Arabidopsis thaliana: one gene and its partners. The protein of the gene in region 2 purifies or fractionates together with the protein of the main gene of each other region. This does not show direct contact. Each region holds a gene or a part of one and is shown on either strand. Other genes may lie near its edges.

Region 1 (6,033 bases), on a different chromosome or scaffold from region 2:
TGTTGGCTATTATCAACAGGTTGTGTATTCTGTGATGCCTTTTTAGCTTTTTCTGCTGCTTTTCGTTTACGAAACTGCTCAAGCTGAAAATCCAGAAATTAAACGATAAGAAACACACAATTTTACGCATTCATCTTTAAAAAAAACAAGCTTTTTGTCGAATAAATCTCAATTCTGATTGCATGCGTTAGGACATCAATCTCAATTCCAATATAAACAACCCACCTAAAAAAAATGATCAATTGACTCAGCACCGACAAATTTTAGGGGCAAATTCAAAGTAACGAGAGAATCAAACAAAAGATGATGATTATGATGATGATGATCTACCTTACGGCGTCCAGCTTCAACGTCCTCTTGCCTCCGGGAACTAGTAGCTGATGCCATTGAAAAATACTCGAAATCTCGCAGAGGGAAATGTTCCCTCTCCAATTGCTTCAAATCAATGCTTTTTCAATTACCATTGAATCCGTTTTAGCCAAAGCCATTCCCGGAAATCGCCGTTGTTATGATTGAGGAGAAAACTCAAATTTCAAAAAGCCCAGATCCTGACGCACAGATCGAGAAGATATCGTTGAAATTTCGGGGTGGAGGAAACAGATGGAGATCTCGAGAAAACAAGTTCAAAAATCGATGGAATTGTCAAACAAAGAAATCGAAATTAGGGTTTTCGATCTGAAGGAGAGGAGGACGAAGTTCAAATATTAATTTTGTTCGTCAGATCTCTTTTTAACAGATCCCTTTCTTTTTATTTTCCCCTTCTCTGCTTTGAATTAAACGTTTTTACTCGTTTTTTTTTTTCTTTGTTTGGTTGCAATTTTTTTTTAACGTTCACTCATTGTTTGTTTGGTGAAATTTAGATTTCATGTAGCTTTTGATTTTAAAAATGTATAAGAAGTGTGTAATGTATTTGTTCATAGTCTGTTGTATTTTTTGAAAAATAAGAGAGAATGTTTAGGTAGTAAGAAAATTAAGAGAAAAAAAAATGGAGAGAAATGAGTCGTGATGGACACATATGACAGGTAAAGAAAATAAATAGGAGCATCCATGTGGCCCGTGGAACATGACGACAGCCCACCAAATTACTCATGTTTTTAAAGAGAGAAATTGACAAATTTTAATATCAATAGAAGCTTCAAATTCCTCTACTTTAGGACAACTAAAAGAGCAAAGTAATGAAGAAAAAAAGTGAAGCAAGGTCAACCTTTTGGTATCATCTAGGTGTTTATTATGGGGTTTGGTTCACTTTTTTGTTTGCATTGTTTGGATTTTGGATTTCTTTTGGAGTTCTATTTCATATTATCAGTTTTTATCTTTGCGTATTTAAGAAACTTTTACTGAGGTAAAATATTACACAAATTGCCACTGATTTTAGAGAACAAATTCAATTTAAAAAACTCGAAACACCGATTTGTTTTGTAGAGCTGAAGCAAACCTAAACCAAAAACCTAATCCAACCGGAACCATTTAATTACCGTTGGTTTTCTTTGGTTTGGTGTGGTTCAGTTTGATTAGATTCAAGGATATTTAGATCAAGCGATATAATTTTATTTTATTTTTTGGTTAAACGCTATATAAAATTTGACATGTATATTATGGCAAAATCACAAATGCTGGTTATCAAAAGATGAAAAAATGAAATCTGTTTCTTTGGGGCAAAAAATATTACAGAAATTAAATTGGAAAATGAGATTAACGACTTTTTTTTTTTTTTTTTTCGTCAAATGAGATTAACGATTTTTAAGTTTGAAATGAAAGTTAAACCCTAAAGAGGCCTAAAACCCTAAAAGGCTCATATAGTAACTAGCAGCTGCTTCTAGACTCTTCTCCTTCGCTTATTAAGCCCTCTCAACTCTTCTTCTCTCTCTCTCTCTCTCTCCGCCTGTTCTCCATTGATCTAATCTAACTCGCTCATCAGAATCATCTCTTCATCGTTAATCCTCTTCCTTCTCACTCACCATGTATCGTTTCGCTTCTAACCTCGCCTCCAAGGCAAGGTAATGAACTCACTTTCTTCGTGTTTTTTATTCACTCTCATTGGAAGCTAATGAGGAATTAAATCGATTTGGGTTTTGATCTACTCTCTTCAAATTCATCTGGGCTCTCGAAATCTACTAGCTTAATCCCGATTCTGAATTGCCAGTTCTGATAATAAAAATGGTGTCTTTATTGTTCTCTGTTCTTCAGGATTGCTCAAAACGCTCGCCAGGTTTCCAGCAGAATGAGCTGGAGCAGGAACTATGCAGCGAAAGAGATTAAGTTTGGTGTTGAAGCTCGAGCTTTGATGCTTAAGGGTGTTGAAGATCTTGCTGATGCTGTTAAAGTCACCATGGGTCCCAAGGTACTCTTTTTCTTCTACACATTTTGATTTGATTTGGACATGATTTGGCCAGAGGTTCCTTCCTTAGCATGTGATTTGGGTGACCGGTTGATTCTGTATCGAATTTGGTCTAAGACTTTCTGCTTTATGTGATTCTAATTTTGAAGGGACGTAATGTTGTGATTGAGCAAAGTTGGGGTGCTCCTAAAGTGACAAAAGATGGTGTTACTGTTGCCAAAAGTATTGAGTTCAAAGACAAAATTAAGAACGTTGGTGCTAGTCTTGTGAAGCAGGTTGCAAATGCTACTAATGATGTTGCTGGTGATGGTAAGATATTTCATTTTGATTGATTATGCGGTTCATAGTTGTAGAAACTTTGCAAAACTATGTACCAATGCTTGTTTAACTTGTCATGCAGGTACTACTTGTGCTACTGTCCTCACCCGGGCTATATTTGCCGAAGGATGCAAATCAGTTGCCGCAGGAATGAATGCAATGGACTTGCGAAGAGGTATTTCCATGGCAGTTGATGCTGTGGTGACAAACCTTAAAAGCAAGGCTAGGATGATCAGCACATCTGAAGAGATTGCTCAGGTTGGAACCATTTCTGCTAATGGAGAGAGGGAAATTGGTGAACTTATTGCCAAGGCTATGGAGAAGGTTGGCAAAGAAGGTGTTATCACAATCCAAGTAAGTAAATCGCCGAATGATTGCTCATGTTGCTACTTATATATTGGTCAAAACATAATTCTGACGTGGGTATAATGCATTGCAGGATGGAAAGACATTGTTTAACGAGTTGGAAGTTGTAGAGGGGATGAAATTGGACAGAGGTTATACTTCACCATACTTTATCACTAATCAAAAAACCCAAAAATGTGTAAGTTTTTTACTCCCTGCTCAATTAAGTTTCTTGATGTGTCATATCAATTATAGAAGTTACTGAATTGGAATTAATCTATGTAGGAACTAGACGATCCTCTCATTCTTATCCACGAGAAGAAGATCTCAAGCATCAACTCTATAGTGAAAGTGTTGGAGTTGGCTCTGAAGGTATGTCTACTTTATCTTTATAGTAAATCTGTAATCATTTTCTCATGTAAATGCTGTGTGAAAGGCATCTGATGTGGTTTCTGTTGTCCAAATAAAATCTTACAGAGGCAAAGACCACTATTGATTGTTTCTGAAGATGTGGAAAGTGATGCTCTTGCAACTCTTATCCTTAACAAGCTCCGTGCCGGAATTAAGGTTTGAACAACAGAAGCTCTTACTACCGTCTCCTGACTTTTAGCTATGACTTCTTTGCTTTTAGATTAATAGTTTCCTCCCTGCAGGTCTGTGCCATCAAGGCCCCTGGGTTTGGAGAGAATAGGAAGGCCAATTTGCAAGACCTTGCTGCCCTTACTGGTGGAGAGGTAGTACATTTGTTGTGTAATGTGTTAGTCTTGTCAACAATGGAATATTATTGACTTAGCTTGATACAGGTTATCACAGACGAGCTTGGCATGAATCTGGAGAAGGTGGACCTAAGCATGCTAGGAACCTGCAAAAAGGTAGCCTTTGAAACCTTAACTGATATAGACATGGTGGCTCTTAGTATGAACTAGATTTGGCTATTACATTCTCAGCATATCCTTGTTGGATTGTAAGTGTAGTTGAGACTTGTCTGGCTATTTGTATAGGTTACAGTCTCCAAGGACGACACTGTTATTCTTGATGGGGCTGGCGACAAGAAAGGAATTGAGGAAAGATGTGAACAGGTAATTTTTAACCTTATACCCTGATAAATTGGTTAGTAATAAAATTTGTATGCAAGAAATTATGAAGTGTATGAAAGTAGTTCGTTCTAATTGCTTGGTATTGCAACTAACAGATTAGGTCAGCAATTGAACTGAGCACCTCAGATTATGACAAGGAAAAACTGCAAGAAAGGTTGGCTAAGCTCTCTGGAGGTGTTGCAGTGTTGAAGGTTAGTCCATGTTATAATGTTTTGGGAGTCTTAGAATCATAGCAGCCTGGTTGTAAGTGTCTTGTTATAACTTCTGGAGCTAATTGTGTTTAGATTGGAGGAGCAAGTGAAGCTGAAGTTGGTGAGAAGAAAGACAGAGTGACAGATGCTTTGAATGCCACTAAAGCAGCAGTTGAAGAGGGTATTTTACCAGGTATGTCTCTTCCAGTGAGGAAGACTCTTTGATATAGTGCTAAAAAGTTTGCTATGTGCTAAAGAAACAAATCAAAACACTTGCAGGAGGAGGTGTGGCTCTTCTATACGCAGCAAGAGAGTTGGAAAAACTTCCAACAGCCAACTTTGACCAGAAGATTGGTGTCCAGATTATTCAGAACGCATTGAAGGTTTTCTATTCTTTAGAACTAAAATCCTCTGATCTGATAATTGATGACAAGAAATTGTTTTAACGAGTTTTGGTTTACCAGACTCCTGTTTACACAATCGCTTCAAATGCTGGAGTTGAAGGTGCTGTTATTGTTGGCAAGCTCTTGGAGCAAGATAACCCAGACCTCGGTTATGATGCTGCTAAAGGTGAGTTTCACAATCCATCATCACTTCACTTTTGTTCTCTCTGAAGATTGCATTTAGCTAACTGTGGAGAACAAACTAGGTGAATATGTGGATATGGTGAAAGCTGGAATCATAGACCCTCTGAAAGTGATCAGGACAGCTTTGGTTGATGCTGCGAGGTAAATAAAAAGCGAACACCCTAACTAACAATGTTCTTCTTCATTTCGATATATGAGTCTTAAGCTAAAACTGTATACTTGCGTTGTTGGCAGTGTGTCATCTTTGTTGACGACAACGGAAGCTGTAGTGGTTGATCTTCCGAAAGACGAAAGCGAGTCAGGAGCAGCAGGAGCAGGCATGGGTGGAATGGGAGGCATGGACTACTAGATCCACTAAATTCTGTCTTTTGTTTTCACCAATCACCATCTTAACTTGAGAAGAGAGATACGATTCTTTTAGGAGTTTTAGTCTTCGTCTTTGCCTTATTGTTGCTCAATAACCTCAAAAGTTTTACAATAAACAGAGCACACTTGGCAATGTTACGAGACACACTATTAGCATCAACAAATTTTCCTAAGGCATCATTTGTGTTTGTCATTGCTTCTGGTTCAGGTCTGGTACTCCAACAATAAACCGACCCTTCAAATTACAGTATTTATATATATACCCAAGTTTCATCGTAGTTAAACCAAGATTTAGCAAAATTAAGCAACCACTAACTGAAATGCACCAAAAAAACGAAAACCACAAAATCCAAATTACCATGAAATCGAACTGAAATATATTCCGGTTATATACATTGACACAAACCGAAGATAACCAAACTATTTTCAGTTATAATTCATCTCCGGTTAGCATCTTTGATGTTGTCGAGTGTCGACCATGGCATTGCGTTTCCCGCCTCGTCTCCTCTCTCAGCTGAAGCTATCTCGGCGTCTGAATTCTCTCCCGGCACCGGTATCTGAAGATTCCGAAGACGAATCTTTAAAATTCCCATCCAATGATCTTCTTCTCCGAACGAGTAGCAATGATCTCGAGGGCAGTTATATTCCCGCCGATAGACGTTTCTACAACACGCTGCTGAAGAAATGTACAGTCTTTAAGTTGCTCATTCAGGGAAGGATCGTTCATGCTCATATCCTTCAATCTATCTTTCGTCATGACATTGTTATGGGCAACACTCTTCTCAATATGT
Region 2 (6,249 bases):
TGAAGATTTAGCTGTGTAAGTTTCAATAGCATGTCCTCTTAAACGTAGTGAAATCTGTATTTGATCACTCATGGAGATCTTGTCCATTTCTCATTTAACTTATACAGAGAAGGAATCTTGAATTATTTGGAAGACATTCCAGCTGCTGAACTTTTTGAGCAGCTGTTTACTTCGCTAGTAAGTTTTTCCCAACAAATTGCGTATTTTTCTTTTTGTGAAGCTTTCTATCTGTAAGGTCAATCTCAAATTCTCTCACTTGCGCTACGTTAAATGGATGTCATTGGTTACACAGTTAAGGTTTTAGCTGTAAATAGCACTTTGACGATTGGATTGGTTAAAAATATTTCAGGTTTCCCTGGGGTTTGTGATGGTGGAGCCAGTTTTAGCTACAAACGATGACTTGTCAAAGCTTTTCTTTGAATGCAAGGATTATGTAGTCGCTATTTGTCAGGGGGGCGCATGGACCGATAAGCTTGATGATCTATGCCAGGTACTTTACTAGAGAGCTTTGCACAGATTCAAAAACGTATCTACATGCTTGGAAATCTATCACTTTAATAGAGTTAAGAATGTTTTATCAGATGCCAAAGTAAGGCCATGTGGATATGAACATTATGCTCACTAATCATACATCCTAATTGCATTTATTTGGTCATAATAGGTATACGAGACCGTGGAAACAATGTTATTACGTCCAGAAGAAGTTTTGAGATCAATGAAACAAACAGAGGAGTCGCCATCAAGTGGCAGCGAAACGAAACGGCGGTTTAAGCGGCTAGGTTTCATCTTTCGTGGTAGTAAAGAAAGAAAGCAGACAAGAGTTCCATCAGAAACTGAACAGAAAAGCACCGAACCTAGCCCACGCCAATCATTCTCTAGTCTTTTTGATGGCAAGTCGTCTCTGTTTTCAAAGAGACCTCCTAGACCTGAAAATGTGACGCTTGTCTGAATCCATATTATTTATTTGATTTGTTTCATCTGCTTTTAAGTCATTTCTCAGTTTTTTGTATTCTTCTTCTGGGGTTTTAGGTTGTTAAGTTGATCAATTGGTTGGTAACTGTAAAGTTATCTTATTTAAAACATTTCTGAAGGTATGGTGAAATGCAAATAAATGGAAATGAATAAGATGTGTAAAAGCTTTTAGAACATTTGTGTAAATTATTAGATTTCTGAGATGCTGTTTTAGATGGTTGCCTAAAATTAAGAAGTTGAAAGAGTTGAATGAACATTCAAACCAATTTTTTACCATTTAAGATAAATAAGTTGGAAAAATGATTCAACCTAAAAAGTTGAAAAAATGAATTAATTATAAAGAATTTTTTCTCAACTTGTTCATCTCCTATTTTGCAGAGAAATGAACTGAATTTTATTCATTTCTTTTTTCAACTCAAATTTTTCATCCATATGCAACCATTTGCACCTTAAGGTTTCTACACAAGATATACATAAGAAAAATCAAAACTCTCTAGAGTTGGTTACTTTCCCACAATAAACTTTTCCTAATGTTTAGGTTGTTGTTTGATCAATTCCTTGGTAACTGTAAGTAAATTGTTTCATTATAACATTTCTCAAAGTGATGGCAAAAAAAAAGAAAAAAAACATTTCTCAAAGAAAATAACATGGGCCGTTGGGCCTATGGACTATTTGATGTTACTAAAACGCAGACGTTTTCGAGAGTTCATATTACTGAATCCAAATTTAGAAGCGTAATAATAATCAGAGATCTTATAATAATAATGTTCATATTATTCGTTTTACACAAGGAAATAAGACACGTGTAAAATCCTCTGAATTTTCCATATTCTTTCGTGACTTGCTCAAAGCAGAGAAAGGTCATATGCTTTTCTCCAGTTCCTCTCTCTGTCTATCTCTCTCCTCCTTCAATAATTTCTGCAAACCCTAACTTTCTCATTCGGCGCTCAAGTTTCTCTCCACCCCTTCGGTGAGATTTCAATTCCTCGGTTTTCTCTTGTTTTCATTTTCGTCTTGTTGCTGAAAGTCACGAATCTGAGCAGTTTTTATGTTTTGAAAGCCATAATAGCAGGATTTAGGTTTCTGATTTTGAGAAAGTAGTGTTGAGGATGAACAGATTCCATTTTCCGACGATTTTTGATTGATTGTGTTGCGTTTATGATTACGAGTGTTGAATCTCACCGACATCTTGTTGTTACAGAGATTTGGTGCGATGATGTTGCGTGCTGTTTTTAGGAGAGCTTCCATTAGAGGCTCTTCTTCTGCTTCGGTTAGTGTTTGATTCGTTACCATTTTGATTTGATTTTTCTCCGATGTGATAGTTTTTTTTATCTAATTGATCTCTCTCTCTGTTTCAGGGATTGGGAAAATCATTGCAATCCTCTCGTGTTGCAGTGTCTGCTCAATTTCATTCTGTTTCAGCAACAGAGGTACTTTTTTTGTTCAATGATTCATGCTTGATTTTGGTTCTGTGGACAGCTATTTATAAATTCAATCATCTTAGGATGTGTTTAACTAGTTGATTCTATATGCTTCTTCCATGAACAAGTTATTTAACTGTCATTACGAATTGTACAGACGTTGGTGCCTCGTGGAAACCATGCTCATAGCTTCCATCACCGTTCTTGTCCAGGTTATTATTACTACCTTTTTTTGTTGTTTTTGTTGTTTTGCTAGGTTAAGATCTTTAACTTGACAATTGTTCTCTTATTTGCAGGGTGTCCAGACTGTTCAAGGTTGGTAACTCAGTCCTTTTGTTCATGTATAAGACTCAATTCTCTCACCATTTTCGCTGAAAGTGTTATATTCATGTGTGTAGGACTATTATCAACGGTTACCAAGGCACAGCCCTGCAAAGATGGGTCAGGCCCTTTTCATCTGATAGTGGTATGATTGCTCTAGCTGAAACTTTTCCCTTTATGTCAAGTTATTTTGGTTTTTCTGTCCCATGTTTTGGAACACCAGAGCTTAGTCTTATGATCCGTGTGGGTTAATTGGATTTGCTCTTTACTGTTATTGTAACTTGTATTTCTAGGCTTTTTGACTCACACTTTTTTGTATATGTGATTGAAGGGGATGTCGTGGAAGCTGTTGTGCCACACATGGGTGAATCAATCACTGATGGCACCCTAGCCGCCTTTCTGAAGAGTATGCTTTTCTTTACATTATCTTCTTGCTCGTTTCTTTCCGGTGCATTTATGTATCTAATATTTTCATTGTATGTGCTTATTGTTCTTGCAGAACCTGGCGATAGAGTAGAAGCTGATGAGGCTATTGCACAAATTGAAACTGACAAGGTATCAAACAATTACTTATCTTATTATCTCCATTCCAATAGATGTTGGTCAGTATCTTGTGTAGCTTTCCTAATACTAGTGTTTGATTCATCTATGTGCTTTAGGTTACAATAGATATTGCTAGCCCAGCAAGTGGTGTGATCCAAGAGGTAAACTATTTGTGTACTTTAATGTTCCTGTCGTTCTTCTCTTGTGTTCCTATGCCCAATTACTTTTTTCTTTTTTGCAGTTTCTAGTCAAGGAAGGAGATACTGTTGAACCAGGAAACAAGGTTGCAAGAATTTCTACATCTGCGGATGCTGTGTCTCATGTGGCACCCTCAGAAAAGGCACCAGAGAAACCTGCTCCCAAGCCTTCTCCTCCTGCTGAGAAGCCCAAAGTTGAAAGTACCAAAGTTGCAGAGAAACCCAAGGCACCATCACCGCCACCTCCACCGCCATCCAAACAGTCAGCTAAAGAACCGCAGCTTCCACCTAAGGATAGGGAAAGACGGGTATGAAAACTATGTCATTTATTCTTTACTTATATAATGCTCCGTGTGTTTTCTCTATGAAAGAAAAGCATTTTACGTTCACAAGATTTGATGATATCATCTAACATCGATGCAGGTTCCTATGACAAGACTTCGCAAACGGGTGGCAACTAGGTTGAAAGACTCTCAGAACACTTTTGCGTTGCTGACAACTTTCAATGAAGTTGATATGTGAGTTACAGTTGACAACCCCATGTTGATATGTCTCTTTATCATTTTGAAATGCCCTTAGTGCACTAATTTTAACCCAACTCTTAAGTTCACCAACAAAACTTTCCTTCTTCACGTAGGACTAATCTGATGAAGCTCCGATCTCAGTACAAGGATGCTTTTCTTGAAAAGCACGGAGTGAAGTTGGGGCTTATGTCTGGTTTCATTAAGGTATGGTAAAAAACTCAAAAGTTTCCTGAACTATTTAGCATATCAGGACTCAACCGATTAAGTAATCTTCTTGAACTATTTGTTTCAGGCTGCTGTTAGTGCCCTCCAGCACCAACCTGTAGTAAATGCAGTTATCGATGGAGATGATATCATTTACAGAGACTACGTGGATATCAGTATCGCTGTTGGTACCTCTAAGGTTTGTTTCCGCAATTCTTTTGACATTGAGTGATAATATCATTTGGGCTTTTGAGATAGTTTTGATTGATTCCTCTTCTCTGTGTATTGTATCCCAGGGTCTTGTAGTTCCAGTCATAAGAGATGCTGACAAAATGAACTTTGCTGACATAGAGAAAACAATAAACGGTCTCGCTAAGAAGGCTACTGAAGGAACCATATCAATCGATGAGATGGCAGGAGGATCATTCACAGTATCAAATGGTGGTGTCTATGGAAGTCTTATAAGCACTCCTATCATCAACCCTCCTCAGGTTCGATTCGATCCTTGCAATACTAAAAACCAATCAAAGAAAGGTGTTTTTTTGTTTGTTTGTTACTAATGCAAATAAATCTATCATACGTAGTCTGCTATTCTTGGAATGCATTCAATTGTGCAACGTCCAATGGTTGTGGGAGGAAGCGTAGTTCCGAGGCCAATGATGTATGTCGCGCTGACTTACGATCATAGGCTAATTGATGGAAGAGAGGCTGTGTATTTCTTGCGCCGTATTAAGGATGTTGTGGAAGATCCTCAGAGGCTTCTTCTCGACATATGATAAAGATCCAAGACAGAAGAGATCATAAGTTTCTGTCTTTTTACCAGTTTCCTTTCAGGTAAAACCATTACGGATACTGCAATCTGCAAATGATGCTTTGAAAAAAGAACGAAACTTTTTTTTTGGAGTTTTCTTAATAGTTTTAAGAGTTTTTGCCGGGCGAGGAAAGCATCGGTGTATTGAGTTTTCTTTTATTTTATAATATTCATACAGTTTGAACAAAATGTTACAATTTTGACTTTCAAAAAATAATGCCACTGATAATTATTGGTTAAAAATGGTTTCCATTTCCATGGAGTTGCATTGTTCATTATGGGGTACTGAGGATGTATGGTTGTTTCTTGTTGTAGGGGATAATTGTCCGAAAGATATATCTTTAGTATCGGTTTAGCCAATATCAAAAACAAATTACAAATATATGTGACCTCCTCACCTTAATTTTTTTACTTGGATTAAGGAAAAAATTATGACATTTTAAAAGTTAAACAATAACTGAAATTTGATCTCACTCTTCATTAAATTGTATGCTTGCTTCCGATTGGAATGTCAGACTTGATTTTTTGGATTTCAAGGGTTTGTGACGCGGACATGGACGATTTCAAAGGAGCAATACAACACGTATAGTAAGATTAATCTCGTTTTATGTTGCTAAATCTTTTGTACTAAAATAAATAAATAAGAACGTGTATTACTTAAAAATTAAAATCTTACAAAAAGTGAACAAGTAAACGTGTAGTAAATCATAGATATTTGAAGATACAAACGGTTCTGTTTCTTCTGTCTTTTTCCATCTGTATTTTATTGAAACAAATATTACAACAGAAGAAGCCCAAAGACAAAGAAAGTAAGATAGTCCAAATAGAAAGTCTGCAAATAGAACGGTTAAAAGGGTTTGCAAATGCAAATAGAAATAACAATTTTATTTGTTAAAAGGGTTTGCAAAGAAAAAAAATACCATTTTAATATATATATATATATATATATATATATATATATATATATATATATATATAGTCACAATCTCAATCTTACATGTCCATGTAAATTACAAATATATAATCCACATGAACAGTACTTACAATCATCACCAAAAACTAGATACGGGATAGATTCGTCTCATAAATCATAAACAGTACTCAAAGCTAAAACGACAATTAATTAAATGATTACTCAATCGATAAGGTATTAAATTCAAATGATATCCTCGTCATTAGGAGTGGCTGAGTTCCCGCCTCTACAGCTTCAATCCTGCAAATACACACAAAAAAACAAACATTTTAGATCAAAAATT
Region 3 (4,906 bases), about 18 Mb from region 2:
AGATTATTCTTTTTAACCTAACCGCTACCGCCCGCAACCGCAAACGCTTGCGGAAAGGAGCTTTTGAAAACTGGCGATTTCGAGCGGTTTAAAGCGATATCTAGCGGTTTTTATGATTGGTGTCAATCGCTAACAACCGCTACCAACCGCAAACGCAGCGTTTGCGGGTGGTAGAGGGAGAACCAATCAAGTCCTTAGTCCCTCAATCGTCGTCGCTCAAAATTACTGGTTTGACAACAGATGGTTGGTTGTTAGAGCCTTTAGACGAATGGAATCCAATTGCAAGGGTACATCTGTTAATTGGGATCAAACTGTTAAGTAACTTAGTTGGGCAACAAAGCCCGTCTAGCTCAGTTGGTAGAGCGCAAGGCTCTTAACCTTGTGGTCGTGGGTTCGAGCCCCACGGTGGGCGACGTTGTTTTTTTTATCATATGTTTATTAATCATTTGCCTACATAATATTTTCCTTATGTTAGCGCTTAGCGGTTAAACGTATACATATGATTAGTATTCAAGATCTATCTATGATTTGATGTTTTAAAACGAGATTTTATATAATCTCTAAAACAAAAAAGTAAAATAATAGATAGAGCAACCAAAAGAGAATTTCAACTGAAACTGAATAAAAAGTAGTGAGTGGGTGTATGCCCACTCTCTCTATCTTGGAGTGTGTCCCTCTCATCTTTTAAGATTACATCACACAAAGAAAAAAAGGACAAGAAACAATAGGAAGAGAGTATGTAAAGAGAGAGAGAGCACTATCCTGAATTCAGGAACACAAATTTCAAAAAAAACAAAAATGATAAAGTTCAAATCAGGAAGAAATTGAGCTTACTCACTCTTCCTCATCACCGTATGGTTTCTCTTATTTTTCCAAACAAAAATCCTACCCCATCGAACTCCTAATAACCTTTTTCGTCATTGTTTAGGCTTTGGCTTCAGTAGCTGCGATGGCAGGAGCTGGAGCAACACCACCAGTGGTTGGCCTGAATACCAAATCAAAAGAATTGAGAGTTTTGCATTTTGAAGGTACAATTAAGGTACGAAAGTAAGTGAAGAGAGAGAGGAACTTACAGGCCAACAAACACTTTGAAGGCATCGTATAATCCCCACTGTGCTCCAGTCAACGTCCCGATCATCACAATTCTAAGAGGAAGCCCTCTTGTGAACAGTCCCACCATACCAATCTTCTTCACCGCCTGCAACATGTCATTTACAAACATTAAATATTATTTCTACCGTAACAGAAATCAATAGCTTGTATACAACTACCAAACCACAGCCATTCTAGCATTAGGCTATTGTATTCAAACATAGTGACTTACATCTCCAACGGTTGCTCCCTTAGCGTTGTTGAGGAATGACACTAGATTGTCTGCTGGATGAGAAACGATGGCACAGAACACTCCGGCAACGTAACCTCCGGCAAAACTCACTCCGAGTTGCAGACCTTTGCTGCACTCACTCTTTGGGTTGGGGATTGCGTACTTGTAAATCATCTCAACAATGGTCTCAAAGGAAGCAAACTTCATCATAGTGTCTGTAAAATTCATAGATATCATCACCACCTTTTGCTTTTAAAGAACTACATATGTTTCATCAATAAACAAAAAAAAAAAAAAAAAAAGATTGTGCAACAGGTTGCAAAATAGAGGCCAGAACTTACAAGGAATCTGACGTCCCCAGAGTGGAGCAAGACCCTTATACAAGCTGCAAAAAAATCAGAAATCAGACCAAAAGGCTAGCAGTAACAAGGGAGATAATGTTATTGGTATTGAAAAACTCACCCTCCGTATCCTTCGGACTTGATAAACTTGGGAAATCCATCAGACATCCCCCTAGCAAATCCAGGCTGTGTCTGAACACGAACCTTCACAGCTTCAAATGGGCAAAGTGCAATATCGGCAATGATCTCAGCAGAAGCAGAACCAGCAAGGTAGATGAGAGTCTTGTATTTGGCAGTGTACTCAGGTCCAGCAAGGTCAGAGTAAGTCTTCTTAAAGTACTCGTAGAATCCAAACTTGCAGGCACCCTGAGCACTGTAACCCAAAAGAGTAGGAACCCATCCACGGAAAAAGCCTTTGACTCCTTGCTCTTTCAGCAAAATTCCAAAACCAGACGAGATGCTCTTGTACTTCGCTGGATCAATCTGGATAACAAGATATATCAGTTTTGCAAGACCAAGTGAACCATTCAACACATAACACGTCAAGTAACAATATTTCGAAAGAAGAACCAGAAATCAGACCATATTAACGTATATTGAAATAGAATGATTCATATATAACATGGAAATGGATAGACGAAGATGCGTTTATCAGAGATCAAACAATTCTTCAGATATTGAAATCAAACACAAAACCAATAGTCAGGAAAACAACAAAGCGATAAAGAAAATCAAATCACAGATCTAGCAACACAGATCTCACTACCTAAACAACACAGGAACACAGATCCACAAACATGAGCTCAGAAAACAAACGAAAGACAACGGATCTAAAGGTTACATACCTGCATATTGCACTTGACGAGATCGAGAGGAGTCACGGTCATGTGAGTAAGACCACAGCTGAGAATTCCACCAAAGGTACAAGCAGCGTAGAAGGCAGGTGAATACATCTCGATCCCCTTCCCTGGCTCGGTGGGAGATGCAATAAGGAAATTCTTCCGAGAAATCATCGACGTAGGAGAGGAACGCGGGGCCGGAGAAGGAGATTTCTCGAATGCAGCGTTGGAGTTGGAATTGAGCACCTGGTCGAGGAGGAAAGATCTCGGAGATGAAGATGATGAATAGAGGAAGCTCGGGATCAGAGAATTCTTCGGAGATTCCATGGCGGCGGCGGAGGAAGGAGATGGAGATAGCGTTTGAAATGAGAGACGGAGGCGATGTTTGATTCCCGATCTCACTCACGCTTTGCCAAAACCAAAAGCACCAATGAGGTATTAACTCTCGAAACTCGGGCTTTATTGGGCAAATGGAATCTGATGGAACAAGGCATATACTTTGCGATAATTACGAAAGTGACATTGTTATTTTACCTGTCTTGGCCCATGGGCTTTTTCAAGAGACATAAGACCCGTTGACCCATTAAAGGGCTGTATTAACGACAAGTTCCAATTTTTATTTGTTTATCTTTTGTTGGAAAATGAAATTCTAAAACCCTAAAAAATCCAACCAGAAGGGTAGAAGCTCTCTCGCCGACAATTACCGGCTACAAGGTTTCTCTGCTCGTCAACGTTGTAAGTTATTTCTTCATTGTAATCAAATTTGTGCATGAATTAGGTCAAATTAGTAGCTTTTGTAGTAATTCTTCCCGAAATGAGAGCTTAATTACGGATTGATAACGAGCTTGCGAATCTTATCGTTGTTTGTTTCATGCAGCTCTGAATTAGTGGTATTGAAAGATGAGCTTATCTCAGAATGCTCCGAAAAGTAAGGGTATTAAAAGAGAGGAGCTCAAGAAACAGTACGAAGATGTTGAAGATGAGGAAGAGATTGGGTCCGATGATGATCTCACTAGGGGAAAGAGAAGAAAGACAGAGAAGGAGAAGCAGAAGCTAGAAGAATCGGAACTGGTTGAAATGAAAAAGCTTGAGAATTTGATATTCGGGTCACTCTACTCTCCTGTTACGTTTGGTAAGGAAGAAGAAGAAGATGGTTCGGCTTTGTTTCATGTAGACCGTTCTGCTGTGAGGCAGATTCCTGACTACGAGGATGATGGTGATGATGATGAAGAGCTTTCTGATGAAGAGAATGGTCAAGTTGTGGCAATTAGAAAGGGAGAAGCTGCCTGGGAGGATGAAGAAGAGAAACAGATAAACGTTGATATAGCTAGTGTCAACCGTCTAAGGAAGCTAAGGAAAGAGGAGAATGAGGGTTTGATCTCTGGGTCTGAGTACATTGCAAGGCTGAGGGCTCATCATGCTAAGCTAAACCCGGGGACTGATTGGGCTCGGCCAGATTCTCAAATAGTTGATGGAGAGTCTTCAGATGATGATGATACTCAGGATGGAGGAGTTGATGATATCCTTCGAACGAATGAAGATCTTGTGGTGAAGTCTCGTGGTAACAAGCTGTGTGCTGGTCGTCTTGAATACTCTAAGCTTGTGGATGCCAATGCAGCGGATCCTTCAAATGGTCCAATAAACTCTGTCCACTTCCATCAGAACGCTCAGCTGCTTCTCACTGCTGGATTGGATCGACGGTTAAGGTTTTTCCAGATTGATGGAAAGAGGAACACCAAGATCCAGAGCATTTTTCTTGAGGACTGTCCCATTCGTAAAGCGGCTTTCTTGCCCAATGGCTCTCAGGTCATTGTCTCCGGAAGAAGAAAGTTCTTTTACAGCTTTGATTTGGAGAAGGCAAAGTTTGACAAAATTGGCCCTTTGGTTGGTAGAGAGGAGAAAAGCTTGGAATATTTCGAGGTGTCACAAGACTCTAACACCATAGCTTTTGTTGGCAACGAAGGTTATATCTTACTTGTGTCTACAAAAACAAAAGAGCTGATAGGAACCCTAAAGATGAATGGTTCAGTTAGGTCTTTAGCATTTAGTGAAGATGGGAAGCATTTGCTGAGCTCAGGAGGTGACGGGCAAGTCTATGTCTGGGATCTGAGAACAATGAAATGCTTATACAAAGGCGTGGATGAAGGCAGCACTTGTGGCACTTCTCTTTGCAGTTCGCTTAACGGAGCATTGTTTGCTTCTGGAACCGACAGAGGAATCGTAAACATTTACAAGAAATCTGAGTTTGTGGGAGGCAAAAGAAAGCCGATAAAGACAGTGGACAATCTCACATCCAAGATAGATTTCATGAAGTTCAACCATGATGCTCAGATTCTAGCTATAGTCTCTACAATGAACAAAAACAGTGTAAAGCTAGTCCATGTTCCATCCCTAACCGTCTT

Evidence for each region. The genes of interacting proteins can lie anywhere in the genome.
Region 1: the proteins of AT5G55070 (region 2) and HSP60 purify together in Arabidopsis thaliana (affinity purification with mass spectrometry, with the first as the bait; one large-scale study listed by BioGRID). This does not show direct contact.
Region 3: the proteins of AT5G55070 (region 2) and PHT3;1 purify together in Arabidopsis thaliana (affinity purification with mass spectrometry, with the first as the bait; one large-scale study listed by BioGRID). This does not show direct contact.

Annotation. Positions count from the first base shown.
Region 1 is NC_003074.8:8,667,054-8,673,086, forward strand, and holds HSP60 (heat shock protein 60), read left to right. Parts: upstream 1-1,718; 5' UTR 1,719-1,959; coding exon 1,960-1,997; intron 1,998-2,187; coding exon 2,188-2,341; intron 2,342-2,487; coding exon 2,488-2,647; intron 2,648-2,738; coding exon 2,739-3,010; intron 3,011-3,095; coding exon 3,096-3,200; intron 3,201-3,286; coding exon 3,287-3,373; intron 3,374-3,478; coding exon 3,479-3,568; intron 3,569-3,654; coding exon 3,655-3,735; intron 3,736-3,804; coding exon 3,805-3,873; intron 3,874-4,002; coding exon 4,003-4,080; intron 4,081-4,193; coding exon 4,194-4,289; intron 4,290-4,382; coding exon 4,383-4,482; intron 4,483-4,568; coding exon 4,569-4,672; intron 4,673-4,753; coding exon 4,754-4,859; intron 4,860-4,938; coding exon 4,939-5,017; intron 5,018-5,110; coding exon 5,111-5,225; 3' UTR 5,226-5,525; downstream 5,526-6,033. Other genes in the region: BLI (BLISTER), read right to left, coding at 1-83, 331-387; AT3G24000 (Tetratricopeptide repeat (TPR)-like superfamily protein), read left to right, coding at 5,721-6,033.
Region 2 is NC_003076.8:22,345,452-22,351,700, forward strand, and holds AT5G55070 (Dihydrolipoamide succinyltransferase), read left to right. Parts: upstream 1-1,759; 5' UTR 1,760-1,942; intron 1,943-2,173; 5' UTR 2,174-2,185; coding exon 2,186-2,242; intron 2,243-2,330; coding exon 2,331-2,402; intron 2,403-2,550; coding exon 2,551-2,605; intron 2,606-2,689; coding exon 2,690-2,708; intron 2,709-2,791; coding exon 2,792-2,859; intron 2,860-3,045; coding exon 3,046-3,120; intron 3,121-3,213; coding exon 3,214-3,269; intron 3,270-3,373; coding exon 3,374-3,418; intron 3,419-3,498; coding exon 3,499-3,762; intron 3,763-3,877; coding exon 3,878-3,972; intron 3,973-4,091; coding exon 4,092-4,182; intron 4,183-4,270; coding exon 4,271-4,381; intron 4,382-4,478; coding exon 4,479-4,673; intron 4,674-4,766; coding exon 4,767-4,958; 3' UTR 4,959-5,016; exon of another isoform or gene 5,017-5,376; intron 5,377-5,530; 3' UTR 5,531-5,717; downstream 5,718-6,249. Other genes in the region: AT5G55060 (Rab3 GTPase-activating protein catalytic subunit), read left to right, coding at 1-15, 108-177, 350-490, 662-949; RAN4 (ras-related nuclear protein 4), read right to left, coding at 6,125-6,198. UniProt on the Arabidopsis thaliana protein: The 2-oxoglutarate dehydrogenase complex catalyzes the overall conversion of 2-oxoglutarate to succinyl-CoA and CO(2).
Region 3 is NC_003076.8:4,530,135-4,535,040, forward strand, and holds PHT3;1 (phosphate transporter 3;1), read right to left. Parts: upstream 2,986-4,906; 5' UTR 2,832-2,985; coding exon 2,511-2,831; intron 2,149-2,510; coding exon 1,787-2,148; intron 1,710-1,786; coding exon 1,666-1,709; intron 1,540-1,665; coding exon 1,325-1,539; intron 1,199-1,324; coding exon 1,074-1,198; intron 986-1,073; coding exon 925-985; 3' UTR 509-924; downstream 1-508. Other genes in the region: AT5G14050 (Transducin/WD40 repeat-like superfamily protein), read left to right, coding at 3,405-4,906. UniProt on the Arabidopsis thaliana protein: Transport of phosphate groups from the cytosol to the mitochondrial matrix. Mediates salt stress tolerance through an ATP-dependent pathway and via modulation of the gibberellin metabolism.